Macaca fascicularis: one gene and its partners. Each later gene encodes a partner of the first gene's protein in a complex. Links are inferred from orthologs where the notes say so. Each region holds a gene or a part of one and is shown on either strand. Other genes may lie near its edges.

The links. The genes of interacting proteins can lie anywhere in the genome.
Region 2: POLR2E (region 1) and POLR1H share a complex: the UniProt entries of both Homo sapiens proteins name them as parts of the pol I pre-initiation complex. The link is inferred for Macaca fascicularis from reciprocal best matches to the Homo sapiens genes POLR2E and POLR1H.
Region 3: POLR2E (region 1) and RRN3 share a complex: the UniProt entries of both Homo sapiens proteins name them as parts of the pol I pre-initiation complex. The link is inferred for Macaca fascicularis from reciprocal best matches to the Homo sapiens genes POLR2E and RRN3.

Annotation. Positions count from the first base shown.
Region 1 is NC_088393.1:1,665,567-1,670,348, reverse strand, and holds the start of POLR2E (DNA-directed RNA polymerases I, II, and III subunit RPABC1), read left to right. Parts: upstream 1-1,605; 5' UTR 1,606-1,650; coding exon 1,651-1,707; intron 1,708-2,895; coding exon 2,896-3,070; intron 3,071-4,782. UniProt on the Homo sapiens protein: DNA-dependent RNA polymerase catalyzes the transcription of DNA into RNA using the four ribonucleoside triphosphates as substrates.
Region 2 is NC_088378.1:142,602,561-142,607,389, reverse strand, and holds the start of POLR1H (DNA-directed RNA polymerase I subunit RPA12), read left to right. Parts: upstream 1-1,835; 5' UTR 1,836-1,862; exon of another isoform or gene 1,863-1,871; intron 1,872-1,987; 5' UTR 1,988-1,997; coding exon 1,998-2,142; intron 2,143-2,388; coding exon 2,389-2,489; intron 2,490-2,696; coding exon 2,697-2,806; intron 2,807-4,829. UniProt on the Homo sapiens protein: Core component of RNA polymerase I (Pol I), a DNA-dependent RNA polymerase which synthesizes ribosomal RNA precursors using the four ribonucleoside triphosphates as substrates. Can mediate Pol I proofreading of the nascent RNA transcript.
Region 3 is NC_088394.1:15,491,549-15,496,534, forward strand, and holds the start of RRN3 (RNA polymerase I-specific transcription initiation factor RRN3), read left to right. Parts: upstream 1-1,992; 5' UTR 1,993-2,064; coding exon 2,065-2,153; intron 2,154-3,686; coding exon 3,687-3,792; intron 3,793-4,944; coding exon 4,945-4,986. UniProt on the Homo sapiens protein: Required for efficient transcription initiation by RNA polymerase I (Pol I). Required for the formation of the competent pre-initiation complex (PIC).

The sequences.
Region 1 (4,782 bases):
AAGCGATTCTCCTGCCTCAGCCTCCCGAGTAGCTGGGATTACAGGTGCTCACCACCGCACCCAGCTAATTTTTGTAGTTTTTTTTGGGGGGTACGGAGTCTCGCTCTGTCGCCCAGGCTGGAGTGCAGTGGCCAGATCTCAGCTCATTGCAAGCTCCGCCTCCCGGGTTCATGCCATTCTCCTGCCTCAGCCTCCTGAGTAGCTGGGACTACAGGCGCCCGCCACCTCGCCCGGCTAGCTTTTTGTATTTTTTAGTAGAGATGGGGTTTCACTGTGTTAGCCAGGATGGTCTTGATCTCCTGACCTCATGATCCGCCCATCTCGGCCTCCCAAAGTGCTGGGATTACAGGCTTGAGCCACCGCGCCTGGCCAATTTTTGTAGTTTTTAGTAGAGACAGGGTTTCACCATCTTGGCCAGGCTGGTCTCGAACTCCTGACCTCATGATCCACCCACCTTGGCCTCCCAAAGTGCTGGGATTACAGGCATGAGCCACTGCGCCTGTCCTATTTATTTATTTATTTATTTATTTATTTATTTATTTATTGAGACAGAGTCTCACTCTGTGGCCCAGGCTGGAATGCAGTGGCGCGATCTCGGCTCACTGCAACCTCCCCCTTCCAGGTTCACGAGATTCTCCTGCGTCAGCCTCCCGAGTAGCTGAGACTACGGGCACCTGGCCCAGCTAATTTTTTGTATTTTTAGTAGAGATGGGGTTTCACCGTGTTAGCCAGGATGGTCTCGATCTCCTGATCTCGTGATCTGCCCACCTCAGCCTCCCAAAGTGCTCGGATTACAGGCATGAGCCACTGCGCCCAGTAACGTTATTTTACTAAATCCTGTCTCTGAATGCAAGGGATACCTGGCCTGTTTTTATTCACCATCACTGTAGGTTGCTGAGTAAATGCTGAATTAATGAATGCGTCACTGAGTCAGTGACTGATTGCCTTCACACAGCGAGTGCTGGGCTGGGATCCTCCGTGAATCTGGGGAGGTGAGGTTTGCAAAGACAGGACGGATCTGGGGTGGGGAGATACCCAGGCTAGGCTGGCACTCAGGGGAGAGGACAGAGGTGAAGGGACTTAAAAAGCACCTAGAGATATGCCTAGCTCTACCTAAGACTCTCAGTTAACCGCCTAAAGTAGGGACACTTTTTGCCATTGCACAGGTAGGGAAACTGAGGCCCAAGGGCATTAACCCTGACCTGGCCTGGAGCCAACAGAGGAAACCCTGTACAGTTTGATGCACAAATATGTATAGAGTTCCCACTAGGCTCCCCGACCGTCCCTAGGAGCCGAGCTGCCCCTTTACCCATTCCAGGCCTCAGTTTCCCCGCCCACACTTCGCCCCCGCCTTATGGGATTCTAAACTGTCCCCGCAACGTGGGAGTTGAACGGAAACTACAACTCCCAAGAGGCCGTGCAGCCAAAGACACACGAGAACTACGGAGGGAGAGTCTCGCGCAGCAAACTGCCGTTCTCGCAAGGCTCGGGCTGCCCTTGGCGCTGCCGATCCCGGAAGTTGCTGCATTCAGGCGTTCGCCGACGACAGCCCATCGCGGGGCGGGGTTACGTGGAGGGGGCCTGATTGGGAGTCGGCGCAGGCGCAGTCCGCGCGGGTTCTCGCAGGCAAAACGGGTGCGAGTGGCGGCGATGGACGACGAGGAGGAGACGTACCGGCTCTGGAAAATCCGCAAGACCATCATGCAGGTGAGCCGCGCGTGGTGTTGGGGGCGGGGGCGCGAGCAGCAGGTGCAGGGGCCCGAGGGGAGGTCGAGCTCGGCGTCTCCTCGTACTCCCGTCGCAGCAGCAGCAGCGACGGAGGGCCCGGCCGACACGGGAGACCCCGAGGCCGCCGGGGATCCCAGGCGCTGGGCCCGACCTGAGCCGGCAGCGGGGAAGGGAGGGGGTTTCGAGACGTCTGGGTGCGGGGCTTAGCGGTGGGCGGGCGGCTTGGGCTGGTGCGGCGCACATGGCGGCGAGAGGAGGAAGGTGCGAATGGGGACGGGGGGCGCCCCCAGACCCTGCCCCACTCTGTGATTCAGCGTCGCCATTTGTCCTTGCGCCCTGAACCCCAGGGCGTCTCAGCATCCGAGGCTGGCGGAGTTGGTGGTTGGGAAGCAGCAGGCGAGCTGGGGCTTTCGATGGGGACGTGGAGCCCGGAACCCGTGCCTCGGGGTCTGAGACAGATGGAGGCCACTGGGCCGACTCCGGTTTGGAAACTGGGCAAATGTCTGAGGGCCTGCGGTTCAGGGTCCTCCCTCAGCCGTTGGGGCCGTTTGGGAGCTTTTGTTTTGTCTTGCTTCCCCACCCTATGCCCTTGTCTTTAGCGCAGCCCCCCGCAGCCTGATTCTCCTTCCTCCGGGCCGCAAACATTGTCAGCCTGAAGTCACATCTGTTTCGGTCCCTGTCTTTTTTTTTTTTTTTTTTAAGAGACAAGCTCTCACTCTGTCGCCCAGGCTGCAGCGCAGTGGTGCAGTCATAGCTCACTGCATCCTTGAACTCCTGGCCTCAAGCAGCCCTCCTGCCTCGGCCTCCCTGAGCTCTGGGGTCGCGGACGTGACCCCCCACGCCCCGTCTTTGTCCCTGTCTTTAGGGTAGCTCTGCAAAGTGGTTTGGAGGGCTTTGCCCCCTGCCAGGTTCCTGTGAGGCTGGATAGACGGACGGTCTTGGTCAAGGCTGGACACCTCTGCGAGCCTCTCGGGATCACGCTGGTCCCATCCTGTGGTGTGGGGCTGTGGGGGCCAGGATGGCTGTCATGGGGCACACAGCGAGTGTTCATTCCGTTTGCTGTTCACCTCTGTCCTCTGCAGCAGCCGCAGGTCTGACTTCTGGGTCACGAGCTCTGGCCGCCTTCCTGTCTCTGCCCTGGGGTCAGCTGGTTCTTTCTCTCTGCAGCTGTGCCACGACCGTGGCTACCTAGTGACCCAGGACGAGCTTGACCAGACACTGGAGGAGTTCAAAGCCCAATTTGGAGACAAGCCGAGTGAGGGGCGGCCGCGGCGCACTGACCTCACCGTGCTGGTGGCCCACAACGATGACCCCACCGACCAGATGTTTGTGTTCTTTCCAGGTGAGCAGCGGGTCCCCGGGGGAGTTCTGGTGGAGCCGCCCGAGCACCTGCTGAGGAGCCGGCCGCTAGCACCCCCTCCCTCCCGCCTCGTGCCCAGCGTTTGATCCTCTGCCCAATCTGGGAGGAAAACTTCCCCTCCTCTTCCTTGCTGTGGGCGATGCCGTGGACCTCTGACCCCTCTCATGCGCAGCCTCTTTCTGGTTTCCCTCTCATCGGTCCCCTTTCTTCCTGCCAACCAGGAGAGTCCCATGGACCTCCCTACTCACCCGCAGCCCCTCATGACCTTTGCCCTACCTGTGTTCCTTGGCTCCCTCATCCTGGCCGTTGGGTGCACTTCCAACTTCTTGGCCTGGCCCAGGAGGCCCCGTGTGGGTCAGCGCAGCCTCCTTGTGAGCTGTGGCCCCTGTCTGCCCCAGCCCATTCCTCTGCACCCCATGCCGCCTCTGCCCTGTCAGCGTCCGCTACTCATCCCTCGAGGTTGTGCTCAGGCCGCTTTTCCCGGGACCCCTGGGACCCTCGGTTTCAGCACCTGCACCGTGGAAGTCTCCCCACCTGTCTGCCCCCCCAGGATGGCTCTAGCGCCCTCAGTGGTTGGGGGACTACCAGCGCCTAGGGACACAGCCGCGTGCCCAGAATTAATCAGTGGGGTGGACGGAGCGTGTCTGCCAAGCGGGTGATGCTACTGCTTTTTTTTTTTTTGAAAGTCTCATTCTGTCACCCAGGCTGAAGTGCAGTGGTGCCATTTCGGCTCGCTGCAGCCTCCACCTCCTGAGTTCAAAATTCTCCTGCCTCAGCTTCCTGAGTAGCTGAGACTGCAGGCACCCACCACCATACCTGGCTTTTTTTTTTTTTTTTTTGTATTTTTGGTAGAGAGGGGGTTTCACCATGTTGGCCAGGCTGCTTTCAAACTCCTGACTTCAGGTGATCTGCCTGCCTCGGCCTCCCAAAGTGCTGGGATTACAGGCGTGAGCCACCGCGCCCGGTCTTCTTCTTGTTCTTTTTTTTTTGAGGCTGAGTCTCTCTCTCTGTCGCCCAGGCTGGAGTGCAGTGGCGCAATCTCGGCTCACTGCAACCTCCACCTCCTGGGTTGAAGCAATCCTCCCACCTCAGCCTCCCACAAAAAGCTAGGTTTACAGGCATACACCATCTCACCTGGCTACTTTTACTTTTTTTAGTAGTGTTTATTTATTTGTTTATTTGGTTTTTTGAGACGGAGTCTCGCTCTGTCGCCCAGGTTAGAGTGCAATGGCACAATCTTGGCTCACTGCACGCTCCTTCTCCCGGGTTCACACCATTCTCCTGCCTTAGTCTCCAGAGTAGCTGGGACTACAGGTGCCCGCCACCACGCCCAGCTAATTTTTTGTATTTTTAGTAGAAACGGGGTTTCACCGTGTTAGCCAGGATGGTCTCGATCTCCTTACATTGTGATCCGCCTGCCTCAGCCTCCCAAAGTGCTGGGATTGCAGGTGTGAGCCACCGTGCCTGGCCAATTTTTTGTACTGTTAATAGAGATGGGATTTCACGATGTTGGCCAGGCTGGTTTCGAACTCCTGACCTCAAGCAATCCACCTGCCTCAGCCTCCCAAAGTGCTAGGGTTACAGGTGTGAGCCACTGCACCCGGCCTCAGGTGATGCTTCTTAAAGAGAGCATCCTGGGGTGTGAGATGTGCTTGTTGGACAGGTGGGTGCTGAGTCACCCCCCCTCCCCAGGA
Region 2 (4,829 bases), on another chromosome or scaffold:
ATTCTCAAAATTAATGATTTGTTGATTGCTGATGATCCTTGACACATAATATCTGAGCATCTTTTTAAATATCTGCCATAACATTGTATCTATCTTTTTATTAAATCATTTCCCAGTCTTCCTTGAAGTTTACAGATATGTTTGCTTTATATGTATGTTCTGAGCTCTCACATTTTGCACCTCCTGGCACAATTTTATTGTATTCTAATTATTCATTCATGTTCCTTGAGGTCAAAGAACACAGATTTCAACTTTGCAGGTTCAGCCTCAGCTCAAAACCTGGCATAGTTGCTCAATAAATACTTTATTGAATAGATTGTGAGCTTCTGTTGGGAAAAGGATATGCCTTTCAATGCTTTGTTCTTTACTGCAACTCACAGGGGATGTTGGGTGAGTGTTTTTCAAATTAAAAAGAGAAAATTGAGAAGGGTAGAATTTCAAGTTCCATTTTCAAAGGAGACACACAGATAAGTGAGAATAAAAACTGTCTACGACAATCAGCTCAACAACACATCTCCCTTTGTCAGACAGAATAACAAGCAATTTCACAGTTAAGTGATAGGGCTTGTCACTCTTCAGCAGTTTGCTGAGTTTTAACCCTTTAACTATGGTGTTCTCTCCATTATCACAGAGAAAGGCAGATGGGAGCCTCTCCCAGCGAAAAGACTACAGCTTGTGTCCTTCACAGGACAAAATAGTGATGGCTCCAGAACTTTCATATGAAGGAACTTAGCACAGCTATCAGAGTGGGTGGTGGTGGGAGGACTAGCATGAAACTAGTAAACAACGACAAGCTGCCCCTTCAGGGAAAGTTTCTACTTCGAATATAAGTTACAGAGTAACGAAAATAGCAAGATTTCCGAAAGAAACTTATTCCCATGTTTTATAAAAGATCAGGGAAATGTCAGCTGTCCACTTAATGGATGACGAATAATGAATTAAGAGTTCGATAAGCGGCAGGCACAACTAAAAGCCAAACTCGACCTAAGTCTTATGAAATCCTACTTAATGAGCTTCTTGACTACTGCTAGCCTCACTTATCTGGCAGGAGTCGAAGGAGGGGAAGCCCCAAGCTCTTCTGTTCTACCACCTCCAAAGTCCTGAGCCCCTTCTCAAGTGTCCCACTTCATCCCTGCTTCCTTTCGTCCCGTGGGACTAAGGATTCCTCTGGCCTTCACCCTCACCACTTGCTGTCCCTCAAGAAGCCGACTCACCCCTTTCCAAGCGCGGTGAACCGTCCGCAAAGCACAGGCCGGCTGCGCTCTGCAGAAAGCCCACGCTCGCCAGCGGGACCCAAGGAACGCTAGAACTATACATGCCAGAACACTTAGCTTTGTTTTTAACTACTGTGCAGCCGCAAAAGGGAAATACCAGCTCAGGACCCAGGGGAGTTGTAGTTCTCTAATCCAAAGAAGTCATTATTCAGCAAAGTACGGTTTTCAGGAGGATATTCCCCCGCGATTGGGTTCCCGTAGGATGTGAAACAGAGAATAAATATCCCAGGATTCGGTGCTGGTGGGAAAATTTGCTGGAAGCGCAGCATTGGTTACCAATTTTGTGCTCAACGTCTCAGTACCAGCCTGAAAGTTGAGCCCCAACCTCCCTTAGAAGAGGTGACTCTCCATCTCTAAGGCTTCCGAGACACGGTTCGCAATTAATTATGACGTCACAGCCAATCGTCAGCGTGAAAGCGTGACGCTCTAGCCGGCTCTAGCTCGCTGCCCCGCCGCGGGCGCAGAGCTGGCGCTCTAGCCCACGGAGTTGGCCAGCTCCTCTCGCCGGCCCCAGGAAAGGGTTCCAAGTCCTTTTAGTACCCGACGCTGTCTGGGAGTTCCGGGCGTTTCGGCTCCTTGGTCGCAGAGGCAGGAGGCGTGCGTGGGAGGAGGACTCGGGTTATATACTCCTACGTCCTGGGACGGAATAGTTACCAACTCTGGGGCAGGAACTCTTCTCTCTTTTGTTAATAAACTTCTAACTCCCTCCTCAGACCCGACTGCATGTCTGTCATGGACCTCGCCGGTACTTGCTCCAGCTTTCAGTCGGACTTGGATTTCTGTTCAGATTGCGGCTCGGTCCTGCCTCTGCCCGGGGCTCAGGATACGGTCACCTGTACTCGCTGTGGCTTCAACATCAACGTTCGGGGTGAGAGGCTTGTACACAGGGGTCCTGGCGGAGGGCCCAGGATCGGAAGCTTGGGGAACTCAAGATAGGTTGGGTTCAGAAGGGGATCCTAGAGCAGGACATCAGGCAGTTGTACATTTGGTCCAGCGATGAAAACTGAGGGAAAGGATATAGGGCCTCCTGGCCTAACCAGCCAGGGGAGAGGGGAAGTTTCCGGTGTCAGCTCCCTCAGGTTGTCTCCATAACCAGTCTTACTTGCCTGTGCAGACTTTGAGGGGAAGGTTGTGAAGACTTCAGTTGTGTTCCACCAACTGGGGACAGCCATGCCTATGTCGGTGGAGGAAGGGCCTGAGTGCCAGGGACCTGTGGTAAGTTAATGAGATCAAGAACTGGCTCCATAAGGTGGGTAGGAAAGAAATGGAGGAGTGATTGCAGAGATCTGGAGAGTTTTGTGCCCAATTCCAAGTGGGAAAAGATGTAAAGCATCGATGTTTGAGAGGCGTGATCGCCTGGTTCCTGTGGGAAGTAAGGGTATGATATGACCAGGCCTCCATAACCCACCAGTTTCTTCCCAGGTTGACAGGCGCTGCCCTCGATGTGGTCATGAAGGAATGGCATACCACACCAGACAGATGCGTTCAGCCGATGAAGGGCAAACTGTCTTCTACACCTGTACCAACTGCAAGTGGGTATCCTTTCCCCTCCCTTTGCTCAGTCTGTTTGCTAACTAATAAACAAATCCAGTGATTTATTTTTTTGTACTAAACGGCTGTGTCCTTTCGTCCCATCCCTTATTTCTGTGCAGTTCTGGTAAGAGGGAGATTTGTAGTTTTTATTTTTTTAAATTACACTTTTTTAACCCTTTTTGTAACCAGTGAAATAAACCTTTTAGGTTTTTGTTTTGTTTTTTTTTTTTTTTTTTAAATGGACAGGGTGTTGCTCTGTCACCTAGCCTGGAGTGCAGTGAGGCAATCTTGGCTCACTGCAACCTCCGCCTCCTGGGCTCAGGTAATCCTCCCACCTCAGCCTCCAAAATAGCTTTGGGACCACAGGCACGTGCCACCACACCTGGCTTTTTGTTTTGTTTTGTTTTTTGTATTTTTAGTAGAGATAGGGTTTCTCTCTGTTTCCCAGGCTGGTCTTGAACTCCTGAGCTCAATCAACCCACCTCAGCATCCCAAAGTGCTGGGGATTACAGGCATGAGCCACCCTGCCTGACCTTCTTTTAGGATATTTAAAAGGAAATGAAGAAAAAAAACCATAAGAAGCAAGTATTGTTTAGTGGTCAGCGTCTTATACTGCAGTCTTCAACCGCAGTCAAGGTAGCTTTACTTTGGAGAGAATTAGTCACACATGATTTAGAGAACATGGGCTTTCTGAATGCTTTTAAGACCTCATCTTTGTCTTTGGTGTTCTGCAGTCACTATAGTATATCAAAATGTGATTTTCTTTTATTCTGTTTGGGATTTGTTGGACTTTCTGAAACTGAGAGTGCATTGTTGTTTTTTGTTTTGTTTTGTTTTTTTGAGACGGAGTCTCGCTCTGTCTCCCAGGCTGGAGTCCAGTGGTGTGTTCTCGGCTCACTGCAAGCTCCGCCTCCCGGGTTCACGCCATTCTCCTGCCTCAGCCTCCTGAATAGCTGGGACTACAGGTGCCCCCCACCACGCCCGGCTAATTTTTTGTGTTTTTTAGTAGAGACGAGATTTCACTGTGTTAGCCAGGATGATCTCGATCTCCTGACCTCGTGATCCACCCGCCTCGGCCTCCCCAAGTGCTGGGATTACAGGCGTGAGCCACTACGCCCAGCCTAGAGTGGATTTTTTTTTCATCAACCTTGGAAAATTATCAGCCATCATCTCTTTTAATATTCTCTTTCCCCCATGTTCTCAGTCCTCACATTCTGGACCTCTAATTAGTTACTAGAATGAGATTTCTCTCTTCTGTCCTCCATTTCTCTCGCCCTCTTTTCATATTTTCAATCGCTTTTCTCTTTATGCCACCTTCTGAGTAATTTCTTCAGGTTCCTCTTCCATGTCACTAGTTCTGTCTTCAGTTTATTTCAAATATTATTATTTTTTACTATTGTTATTATTTTGAGTTCTATTTAATTACTTTTCAAATCTCAATTTTTAAATAATTCTCAGTTCCTTAATCATATTTTAAATTGTTCCTTTTACTAGTCTTTAAATATATAAAATATTAAATATAGTTATTATATTCTATGTCTCATAATTCTGATATCCATGGATTTTGTGTGTCTGATGCTGCTGTCTGTTTCTGCTGTCTCTCTCATAGTGCTTTTTTCTTTGTTTTGTAATTTTTGACAATAAATTTGAGTTTTTTAGAACTTGAACTGTAGGAATTCTTTGAGGCCTTGGGTAAGTGCTGTATTCTCAGCATTTGTGTTTCTTTTCTAGGTGCCTTGAAGCACTATCAAGCTGGAATTACTTTAAATAAATTCTTGGCTTCATGTTTTTTGGAGCACACAGATAGTATGAATTTGAGCTGCAAATCCATGTAAGGGCTAGCTTATGGCTAGAAATTCTCAGGAAAGAGTTTTCTCTCTTTCTACCTACTGAGACAGTCAAATTCCCCTTCTATAGAGTTGAATTTTTTCTTTTGTTGTTCACTTTTACAAAAAAGGGCAGCCTTTTGCAGTTCCCAAATTTATGCACAGGATCTCCTATCAACCTTACACATTTTGTCCC
Region 3 (4,986 bases), on another chromosome or scaffold:
AGGCTGAGGCACAAGAATCACTTGAACCTGGGAAGCGGAGGTTGCAGTGAGCCGAGATCACAACACTGTACTCCAGCCTGGGTGACAGAGCGAGACTGTGTCTCAAAAAAACAAACAAAAAATAAACCAAATTGCTGTATTTTATTTTGTGAAATAGGGTCTAGCTCTGTCGCCCAGGCTGGAGTGCAGTGGTGCAATCACAGCTCACTGCAGCCATGACCTCCAGGGTTCAAGCGATCCTCTTGCCTCAGTTTCCAAGTAGCTGGGACTACAGGTATGCACCATCTTATGTTGCCCAGGCTGGTCTTGAAGTCCTGGAGAGAGATACATATAAACACACACACACACACACACACACACACACACACACACACACACACACAGAGTTTGTTTTTTTTTTTTTTTTGAGACACAGTTTCGCTCTTGTTACCCAGGCTGGAGTGCAATGGCACGATCTTGGCTCACTGCAACCTTTGCCTCCCAGGTTCAAGCGATTCTCCTGCCTCAGCCTCCCAAGTAGCTGGGATTACAGGCACCACCACCACGCCCAGCTAATTTTGTATTTTTAGTAGAGACAGGGTTTCGTCACGGCCAGGCTGGTCTCAAACTCCTGGCCTCAGGTGATCCACCTGCCTCAGCCTCCCAAAGTGTTGGGATAACAGGCGTGAGCCACTGTGCTCGGCCCATACATATGCATTTTTAAAAATTTATTTATTTATTTAGAGACAGGGTCTCGCTCTGTTGCCCAAGTGGGAGTGCAGTGATGCTATCTCCCTGGCTCAAGCAATCCTCAGTCTCACGAGTAGCTGGGACTACAGGTGTGTGCCACCACACCTAGATAATTTTTATTGTTTTTATTTTTTACATTTTTCGTAGAGATGGGGTTTCACGGCGTCACCCAGCCTGGATATTTTTGTATTTTTGATAGGCCTGTATAGTTTCCAAAGTTGCAACCTTTTCCCCTCCCTGAGGGTAGGGGCAGCCTCTGCTCTCCCTCTACATCCCCTACAGTCCCGAGGTTTTGGCCTCTGCTGTTTCCTGTTTCCTATGCTTGGAACACCAGTCGCTCTTTTGTTGGTCTGGTTGACTCCTGTTCCTCTTTTAAAAATTTAAGTTTGGCCAGGCACGGTGGCTCACACTTGTAATCCCAGCACTTTGGGAGGCCGAGGCGGGTGGATGACCTGAGGTCAGCAGTTCGAGACCAGTTTGGCCAACATAGTGCAACCCCGTCTCTACTAAAAATACAAAAGTTAGCCGGGTATGGTGACATGCGCCTGTAATCCCAGCTACTTGGGAGGCTGAGGCACGAGAATTGCTTGAACCCAGGAGGCGGAAGTTGCAGTGAGCTGGGATCACGACACTGCACTCCACCTGGGCAACAGAGATGGAGGTTGCAGTGAGCTGAGATCACGCCACTGCACTCCAGCCTGGGCAACAGGGCAAGACTAGGTCTCAAAAGAAAGAAAAAAAAAGTCAAGGGGGTAACACCTCTTGGAAACTCTCCTGCTGTTTCTCATTCCAGCATCATCACAGCCTTGAGGCTCTGGGGTAGATCACTTCGTCGAGCTCGTTTACGTGAGGATAACGTTATCTTGGTGGTCTGTAAGAATGTTGCATTGAGTACAGAGCCCAGGCTCCTGGGTCACCCGGGTTCAAATCCCCTTTCCTCCGTGAGGATCTGGGTCAATCACAGTGCTTCAGTTTCTTTGATTTAACTGAGGGAGGCTTTGACTCCAAAAAATTAACACTCGAGTGTACCCGGCCACAGCTTAGCACATCCAGAGTATTTCCACCCTTTCTTTGGGATTCTTGGGCCTGGATGGAGCAGGACCTTCCTGCCTCTCCTTACTCGCGCATTCGCGCTGAGTGGAACAAGTGGTCCAAGTAGAATGAGGGGCGGGGTTTGGCGGCGCTCTAGCTCGCGGAGAGCACACGCTCTCCCCACGCGGGGTCCCTGATTGGCTGAAGGTTGCGCCGGCAAGCGCAACTTCCGGGACAGAGGGCTGTGGCTGGAAGGAGCAGAGCATCCGGCCTGAGGCGCAGCGGTCGTGTTAGTTCGGCCCAATGGCGGCACCACTGCTTCACACGCGGTTGCCGGGAGATGCGGCTGCTTCGGCCTCTGCAGTCAAGACGCTGGGCGCGTCGAGGACTGGGTAAGATTCAGGCCGCTTCCTTCTGCGCGTCCGAGACCAAAGCTCAGGACTGCGCTTAGGGGAGCGGATTGAAAGGGTCTGGGACAAAGCTAATGGCGTGTGGTAAGAGCACGGGGTCGAGGGTCATCTCATGTTCGCGGGAATGAGCTCATTCCTCCTAACTGGGTAATAGACATGGGTGGGGCCTGGAAAAGTCAGTATTTTATCTGTTCTGGAGCCCCCCTTTCCCGACTGTATTTCTTCGTGATTTCCCAGGCCTCGGTACTGCCTTCTGCGCCTTGACTCCTCTTCCCGCTTCTTCGTCCAAATTTGGAAGGGATTCCCTGGGCTATTCGGTTTATCAGCCGAATATTGTCACTCATGGCAAATTGAATATTACATCTTTTTTGTTTGAAATTTGTTTCGACACACGTATTTGTTTAGCAGTCTTTATTTTGCTCCGCTTTTAAATCCCTAACCCCCATAGCACACTTGGCGTTTAACTTTCAGAGTCATTAGGATGCTATGTTTTTTCATTAATTTACTCTGTGTAAGTGAAGCAGACCTTGTAAAACAATTAGCATAATATGATTCATAATATTTATCGATCTCCTGCTTACTATGTTAAACACTGGGGACAGTGGTTTATCCAAAGACACTAATGTCCCTGCTTTCTACAGAGCTTACAGCCTATGGGGGAAAGGCAGTACATAGGCCAATAAATTACGATGGTTTCAGTTATACAACAGGGTAATGGGGAGGGAGAAGGGAGAGAAGGAGTACTTGAGATTTCTCGTGGGGAAGACATCTGACATTTGAGCTTCCACTTGAATGAAGACAAAAGTCTAGGCCGGGAGTAGTTGCTCACGCCTGTAATCACAGCACTTTGAAATGCCGAGGTGGGCGGATCACCTGAAGTCAGGAGATCGAGACCAGCCTGGCCAACATGCCAAAACCCCATCTCTACTAAAAATACAAAAATTAGCCGAGCGTGGTGGCGGGTGCCTGTAATCCCAGCTACTCAGGAGGCTGAGGCAGGAGAATTGTTTGAACCCGGGAGATGGAGGTTGCAGTTAAGCCGAGATCACACCACTGCACTCCAGCCTGGGCAGCAGAGCAAGACACGTCTCAAAAACAAACAAACAAACAAACAAAAAAATCCAGCCACGTGGAGATTTGGGAAAAGAGTATTTCCGATAGAGTGAACAGTAAGTGAAATGAGAACCAGCTTGGCATGTCGAAGAGCAGAAAAGACATTATGGCTGTAGTAAAACAAGGTGTTGGAGATGAGGTGAGAGAGGTAGGCAGGGGCCAGATTAATGTAGGATCTTAAATACCACACTGAGAGATTTGAATTTTTACTATAAGTGCAGTGGGAAGACAGTTTTCGGTTGCTGAGCGAAGGAGGGATTGTTGGTTAGGAGTGGAAGCAGGGAGACCAGTAAAGAGGCCTTAACAATAGTCCCACTGAATGATGTTGGTTCAATAAATGTTGGCTATTATAATTTTTAATATTTTCATGAACTTAATAGCTTGTTAATTTTGGTTCCACAGGATTTCAAATATGCGTGCATTAGAGAATGATTTTTTCAATTCTCCCCCAAGAAAAACTGTTCGGTTTGGTGGAACTGTGACAGAAGTCTTGCTAAAGTATAAAAAGGTAAGAGGAGATAATGTATGAGGTTTGCTTTTGGTCAGGTCAGAATACAACTATTGCTGTTATACTAAAGACCAATAGAAATAGCAAGCTTAATTAAGATACCAGTTGAAATCAAATATTTAATAATAGCATGATGCCGTCAGTGCAAACTTAGAGTAATAGTGTCCTTTTTTTCCCCCACCTTGGCCCGTTTCACAGGTAATAATGAGAGAGTAATAATGTCTTTACTGAGGTTTCACCTCTTCACATGCTTTATTTACAAGCATCTTTTAGCTTTAGCAAGTGCTAGAATGAAAAACAATTACAGAGTTTTATTTACTTATTTATTTTTATTTTTTTAATTTTTTGAGCCGGAGTCTCACTCTGTCACCCAGGCTGGAGTGCAGTGGCGTGATCTCAGCTCACAGCATCCTCCACCTCCCAGGTTCAAGCAATTCCCCTGCCTCAGTCTCCTGAATAGCTGGGATTACAGACACGTACCACCACACCTGGCTAATTTTTTAATTTTTTTAGTAGAGATGGGGTTTCGGCATGTTGGCCAGGCTGGTCTCAAACTCCTGACCTTGTGATCCGCCCACCTCGGCCTCCCAAAGTGCTGGGATTACAGGCGTGAGCCACTGTGCCTGGCCTACAGCATTTTATTTTTTGAGGAACTTACCTAAGCATTACTTTAGGACAGTAAACCATCATCTGACTAGAGATTTTTGTTTCTGTGGTAGTTCAGAAGCATTTCTACTATATCTCAGGAGTAGAGGGAAAATGTTAAGTAACCGTATGTTTACATGTAATATCCATTTGTATCCATATTTGAGTGAATACTTTTTTAGATCCTCCTGAATAGATCATTATAGCTGGCTGTTTTTTTCCCTCATGCTTTTTGAGAATTCGCAGGAGTATCAACTGTTATATTCAAATGTCAATACAGAAGTATAGCCAAATGTAGTTTATCATTTTCCTTTTTCCAAGCCCTCTGGCTGCACTAACATGAGTGTTTAAATTTTTGTAGTCATGATTTTATAATCTGCAATTGACATGTGAAAGTTAGTGTTCCTTTTATAATTTCATCTGATGTTAAGGTATGGTTAAAAGTCTTGCTGTTGCTACTAAATAGGAAACAAAAGCATAACTTAATTCTTTCCCCTTCTTGTTAAGGGTGAAACAAATGACTTCGAGTTGTTGAAGAACCAGCTGTTA